2 linked regions of the Arabidopsis thaliana genome follow. The protein of the gene in region 1 purifies or fractionates together with the protein of each later gene. This does not show direct contact. Each region holds a gene or a part of one and is shown in the gene's direction. Other genes may lie near its edges.

Region 1 (3,696 bases):
GAAAGATTCAATCTTTGATCTATAAAGAAGAAATCACATCATGGATCTCTCAAATTTCTTCCATTTGGTTTTTACAGGTTTGCCATGAATACGTTGCTGAGCAAGGAATAGAACTCTATGAGCTGGTAAAAGAGTAAACAATCACTTGCAATAAGAGTCACATCTACATCATTACATCATCTGATAGTGTTTGTCTCTTTCAGGTGGCTCATTTGCCAGACAAGGCGAACAACTATCTGACTCCGGCTTTATCTGTACTTGAGAAGAACACATGAGAAGAAGAATCATTGATTCCATTTTGTATATTGTACACATCTCAAGCTCTGATACGCATTACATGCATATATACATACGTACATGTATAACTTGTACATACAAGAATCTCTTTGGTCTCTTTATGTCCATTACCATTTATTTCTTATATTCAACTTAAAATTTGTGTGCTAATACAAACAATCCAAGGCCACCAACATAATAAAAAGGGTGTGAAACCCAGTTTTCTATTACACAAAACTCATAATATTTTGAATGATAAACATAAAAAGTATCTTCATTCATTATAAGTAAACATTGAAACTTCAGAAGATCTCAGACTTTGTCTTATTTATCTCAGATAGTCATGAAGGCGTACGACACAAACCCATCAAAGCTTGGAGAAAGGTTTGGCGAGAGAGCTGAAAAACGAAGATGTCGGAGAAACAAACGGCAACTTTCCGGAGCTTTCTTTTGACTTGCTCTCATCTTCTTCCTCTCCGTCAATGGCTTCTTTCTCAGCATCGTCCACTATCTGCTCCGTCAAAAGTAAATTCACAAGTCAGCCAAAAAAGAGTCCAAATTAGTTTACCCGGTGGACCAATTGTTTTTAAAACTAAACCTTTTCGGTGACGGCAGGAGAAACAGACGGAACAATAACAGCGAGCTGAGTTTTAATCCGGTGCAACGCGTCTTTCGTCATACCCTGCGCCGCTCCGGCGAAATCCTTAATGGCTCCTTCCAAAAACTGTTTAGCGTTTTCAAGCGACTCAGATGGAACCGAAGCAGCCGATAGTTTTTCTAACACTTTATCCTTAACCGCCGCAAGATTCTTCAGCCCCAACATGATCGTCTTCCTCTGCTTCTCTCCTTCTTCTTCCTCTGATGAGGAATCCACGGAATCAGGGTTCGTTGCGATTTTGATCGCGTGGTCAGGAGAGTAGAGGTTCCCTTGGCCCACGTTTTCGTCGGATTCTGGAGAGATTTTGATCGCGTGGTTTGGAGAATATAGCTTCCCCTGGCCCACATCGTCCGACACTGCTTCGCCGTTGTATTTTGTGGCGGATATTCGGTGATGATTTTCCATTACTACTACAAGATTTTGACAGTTGAAAACTTGAAATTCTTTCTTTTTTTGGTTTTTTCTGTGTGATGGGTCGAGAAGAACAGAGCAAAGCCACTTAAATTCTGTTTCCGGAAAAGTAATAATGGTTCTGTTTTTGTTTGTTTCCCGGGAAAATGAAGCAGAGTTGGAAAGCTTGTGACACGTGGTAATGACATGGCAACACGTGTCCTCTGTCGGGAGTTACTGGATGGGATAGTGGGCTTTGTTTAGTTTGTGATGTTATATAATAAAGGCCCAGTAGATGGAGAATTGGTTTTAATAATTGTGTGACCGGATTTGTCTACGACCCGACCCGATCGACCCGGAATTGAAACAGAAGGGGGATACACAGAGGCGGCGTTAGAAGAAGGAAATGGAGTTACAGTATTAGTGAGAGAAGGACGAAGAATAGATAGAGGAGGAAGAAGAATAAAGAGAAAAGATGAACAAGAAGGAGATCTTCAAGCTAGCGAAGGGTTTCAGAGGAAGAGCTAAGAATTGTATAAGAATTGCGAGGGAAAGAGTCGAGAAAGCTCTGCAGTACTCTTACAGAGATAGGCGCAACAAGAAACGTGAGATGAGAGGTCTCTGGATCGAGCGCATCAACGCCGGTTCTCGTCAGCACGGTGTACGTTTTCCCCCCAATATTGATTAGATTTTTGCCTATTTGCTTCCCGTCACTGCTAATTGCATTGATTCGATAAATCATGATTAGTTTATAAATAAAACTTCTGAGATATTGGTTGGTTTATTTTTGCAATCTATGATGAGTTTCTTTTAGGATGGAGCTTGGGATTTAGGGTTTTCTTTTGTTAAATTTGGGTGCTTGATTTCTCCAGAGTCTGTGGTTGCTAGTATAACAAGTTCTAGTTTGATGTTTCAAACAGAACTTGATGGATTACATTATAGTCTTAACTTTTTTGCTGTATTCTAGAGATTTTTCTTATGCAGTGGCACTCTATGTTTGCATCTACCTAGTGATAGAGTTAAAACTTGTTGGTTATAACTAGAAGCGAAAGAATTAGATTGAATAGTTGAATTAAAGTGCATTTTAGATTAGCTTATTTTCTTCAGATTTTACTGTTGTATCTTTGATCAATTTGGAGCTTTCCAATATCTGAGTTTGAGATATTTATCCAATGGAGATTTTGGATGTGAATGTTTAATTTGAAACTCAAATATGCTTAAAGAAGTGAATCATTTCGGATTGATTAGAGGAAAAACACATTTCATGTCAATAGTTTTGATCTAACTGAAACAATGATTACTTCCTAATTCAAGTAGAGAAACATATTTTTCTAACTCGGTTACCTCGTTTTAGCTTTGTAACAAGCTAAATATATGCTATTATAATACTCTGTTTCTTTTGAATAAGATGGAAATGACATGTTTGATTGGAATCCTAACATCTAAAACTTGAAACAGGTGAACTACGGGAACTTCATCCATGGACTGATGAAGGAGAACATCCAGCTGAACCGCAAAGTCCTCTCTGAGTTATCTATGCATGAACCTTACAGTTTCAAAGCACTTGTGGATGTCTCCCGCAAGTCGTTCCCTGGAAACAAGAACGTGGTCCAAGCATCTCGGAAAGTAGACATTTCATCCATCAATGCCTAGTTAGGACCAAGTTAGTTTAATCTTGTCCTTCTTATGAACACGGAATATTTAGTTATTTGTCAGAATAACATGTACCCCGGTGATATTACTATACTTTTGCAATTTGAGAGAATGTATTTCGTCTTCTTTATTTCGTTGAGCAGATCTAAATCCATTTATTTGTTTATTAGTTTGAGAAAATAAGATTGAATCACCTAAATAATCATAGATCTAAACCCTAGGATCGGAACAGTATTTGCTTTAATCACATCATTGTGAATCAATGCCTTGCTACGGAAGAAACAAATATCGGAACCGTGAATCAAAAGGAACTATGCCGCATTTGCTACTAGATGAACCCAGAAAACCCCACCATTGTCGCCTGTGAATACACTGCTCAACAAATGCAGCTTGGCGAGGAGGCAAATGACGAGAAATCCACAGAGCAACCTTGCAGTCATCGACAGATTTCTTGGCGAAACAGTGAAGCATTTGGGGCACAATCAACTTTCCCCTTGGGCTCACTCCCACTGACGCCTGGATATAATCTTTCTGAGCTTCTTCAAGTTCTTCTCCTACGTTCTCGGCTGAGTATATTCTCACCTGCAAGCAATTTCTGTGAGAAATTTGCAATATCGGTTCAAGAATCTGATGTAAAATGCAGATAGATATGGAAATATTACCGCAGGAGATGAGTGCATCCCGCAGCTGAGAGCAAATGACACTAGAGGTTCCGGTGT
Region 2 (3,337 bases), on another chromosome or scaffold:
GATGAGAGGCGGAGGGTATTGTGAAAGCGCTAAAATTCACGGGGCTGTTAAAATATTTTGTTGCTGCAACAATTATTCTAATTCTCCCATCTCCAGTCCGGTCATCAATTGATTGATCTCTTATTCTATATGTACTCTCGATCATAAGATATTATTAAAAACATATATTTATATAATGATAATTGATATAATCTCATCCTGATCCAACCCCCAATCTCTCTCATCAAAATGTTTATAAGAATTCAATACATGTACACAATAAAATCCACAAGAAAAACGACAGCGGTTCGACTTATAGTTAATGTCATTAGGACATCGATTTTGTCAAATCGATCATGTAAAGTTATGTATGAAACTGTAGAATATGAAATAGAAATCTTCGTATATTGGATTTAACTACAAAGGAAATTGCATGACGTCGTGACTAACCCTGGGAAACATGTCATCTTTTGGCTACGACGGCGCATCACACACACGTGGCATCATAATCATAACCTCCGTTGATGAGACATCAAAAGTCTCAATTAACTGCTATAGGAAAATTCATCTATGGTACTTGATCTAATCTAAGCTGCAAAAATAAGAGACCTCCGAAGAAAAAATGTTGAGAAATTATGTGAACCCAAAATCAATCTCCAAGCCTAATATAACAACATCATGTATTTACTCTTTTTATCTCAAGGTATATATTCTGATATTCCTACGTTTTCATGAAATAGATTAACTATATATATATACAAAGATTTTTGGAGATGTTTTCTTAATATGTAGAGAGGAAGTGCGAGTGGAGGGAGGGAAGAAGGAAGAGCTTCTTCGACGGCGGAGGAGTTCACAAGACAAGGTGTTGCTAGCCAAACAGTTGAGAAGGCTTTTGACGGAGCTGCGGTGGCGGTAAACGTCTCCGGTGATTCTGAGGCGGATGTGGAGAAGGTGAAAGAGGCGTTTTTAGATAAGAAAGACTATAATTATAAGAAGAGACCTGAGGATGATGATGATGGTTTGCCTATCAACACGGCTAAAGGAATATAACGTATGTGCATTTGTTAGATATCACTTGTAAAGTAGTAGTATGTAATAATATGCATCATGTATCATGTATGTAATATTATAGGCTTCATGTACTTTGTATAATAAATCGAGTAATGGATAGAAGAACGGTTGCCCTTTTTCTCTCTTTTTCTTGTCTACCAATATTTGTAAGTTTACCGATTTCTTTTAGTTATGTAATTTAGCTACTACTTTTGTATAAATATAATTTACTTTGATAATTTTCTCTTTTTAATAATGCATCATTACTCATTAGTAATAATATTGATCAACCCCAAGATTTAAAGCTATTGAACTTATAGAAGGTAGAAAAACCTTAAATAATACACCTACCTAGCAAATAGCTTTTACCAATTTAGAGGTTAGAACTAGTGATGAGAGCAGTGGAATTTGACTGTTCATCATACACTTTCTGAAATAAATTGTTTTTGCAAGATTAATAAATCTAAAGATTGATGTAAAAAAAATGAAACCAATCTAGTAATTTTTGAACAAATTATAAAAAGGTAAAGGAGCCAATAATTGGGCCCAGATAAAGCCCAAATAATTAAGCTAATCTACAAAACGCTGTCGTTTAACCATTGTTCCGCTAAAAGCTTAAAACCCTTAAACGCGAATCTCAAAGATTTTCCGAGCTCTGTTCGCCGTCTTGACTACACTCGTCGACGATCTCTTTCACCGGACTTCTCCCGTCTCTGTTTCCTCAAGGTACTCGAAAACCATCCATTTCTATCTCAAACACCTAATTGAAATCTCGCGTTATGCAGCTCCTCTTTTCTTCTGAATTGATCGATCTGATTTGGTTTCAATTCGTGATGATTCACTCTCTCATGATTCATGTTATCAATCGTCTTCGTTTATTGTATCTATTGATTTCTACGGTGAATTCTGTGTGATTGCTTGATTATGATTTTGTTAATGGTTACAGAGAGATTGAGTGATAAAGGAGACAAAAAAAAAAAAGAATGAGTGGTTTTAGAGCTTTCAAAGCACAAGTGCCTATTGAATGGAGCCAGAGCTTGTACATAACCTTAGTAAGAGGTCTCCCTGGAACAAGGAAGCTTCACAGACGAACACTTGAAGCTATGGGACTTCGTAGATGTCATCGTACTGTTTTGCATTCAAACAATTCATCCATTAGGGGAATGATTGATCAGGTTCTCTTCCTTTATCTTTTTATCTATTCTCATTTGTCATAAAATCCTAGATTTCAAAATTGTGATGGTTGGTTTTGCCTCTATGTAGGTTAAAAGGATGGTTGTTGTTGAAACAGAAGAAATGTACAATGCTCGTAAAGAAGCAGAAGCCAACCACAAAGCTTTGCGCCCGCCTCTCGTTGTCAGTCATTCGAGTCCTGCAACAGATTCATCCAACATGTCTTGAGAGTACTTTCATAAGATGGTAAGCTCTTCTACCGTCAGTTCGATAAGATCCGCTTGGATATTGTAGGCGGCTTATGTTTAAGTTCTCTCTAAAGGTGTCCAGGAAGTAAACTAGTCCTAGACGCTTGATAAGAAATGTTGGTATCAGTGTGTTTGGTGCCTCTTTATGTTTTTTGTATACACTGGATACTTGTGTATGTTTTGCTCTCATTCTGTCAATCTCAAATCTATCGGTTTTTTTTTTTTTTTGTGGCCAATGTTTCAAGATTGAGAATGTGAAAGTTGATTCTCAAAAAAGTTACCTTTCAATTTGATTAATGAAAGTAGTGAGAGAAAGATAGATGCTGAAATAATCATAACTTAATATATATGTTACAGATGAAGAACCAAAATGTATGATGACAATTGTAATGTATCAAAGAATTGAAATTTGAAATACAAAACCTATACTATGCAAACTACAAATTCTACAATGCATCAGTCATTCATCACTGAGGAACGTCTGTTGGTGTGACCCAAAACATCTGACAATTCCAAGATCTTGGCTGGTAAATTTTCATGATTTGCTTACTCTCCCATTCAAAAACGCTCAGATTCTGAGGCCCTGATCCTCCTACACTTGGATCATCACCATCAATGAAATAAACTGAGTTGTCTTTGAAAAATCCTCTCTCACCTGCTAAAACAGCTATACATCTACCTTGAGGGCTCAAGAACAAAGCTTTTCCTCTCAAGCTCATCACCTTTGTCCATTCGTTAGTCTCGCGATTGAATTCGTAAATCTCGAAAGAGGTTTCGAAATCACAATCGTCGTTAAGCTCCAGCTTCTTTAGGACCACCCACAGTTCGTCGTAATCCGACTCTGCCAAGTATTTCTTGCAAGAGTCGTACCGAAACGGCGAGGTGCT

The links. Proteins that work in one complex are often made in the same cells at the same time.
Region 2: the proteins of AT1G16740 (region 1) and AT5G55140 fractionate together in Arabidopsis thaliana (co-fractionation; one large-scale study listed by BioGRID). This does not show direct contact.

Annotation. Positions count from the first base shown.
Region 1 is NC_003070.9:5,725,974-5,729,669, forward strand, and holds AT1G16740 (Ribosomal protein L20), read left to right. Parts: upstream 1-1,648; 5' UTR 1,649-1,799; coding exon 1,800-1,985; intron 1,986-2,782; coding exon 2,783-2,977; 3' UTR 2,978-3,142; downstream 3,143-3,696. Other genes in the region: HCF173 (high chlorophyll fluorescence phenotype 173), read left to right, coding at 78-125, 204-275; UP6 (uncharacterized protein), read right to left, coding at 644-787, 875-1,339; AT1G16750 (GPI-anchored adhesin-like protein, putative (Protein of unknown function, DUF547)), read right to left, coding at 3,248-3,559, 3,640-3,696.
Region 2 is NC_003076.8:22,379,358-22,382,694, forward strand, and holds AT5G55140 (ribosomal protein L30 family protein), read left to right. Parts: upstream 1-1,638; 5' UTR 1,639-1,755; intron 1,756-1,975; 5' UTR 1,976-2,012; coding exon 2,013-2,204; intron 2,205-2,292; coding exon 2,293-2,430; 3' UTR 2,431-2,837; downstream 2,838-3,337. Other genes in the region: AT5G55132 (Defensin-like (DEFL) family protein), read left to right, coding at 1-112; AT5G55135 (uncharacterized protein), read left to right, coding at 602-682, 772-1,029; AT5G55150 (F-box SKIP23-like protein (DUF295)), read right to left, coding at 2,918-3,337.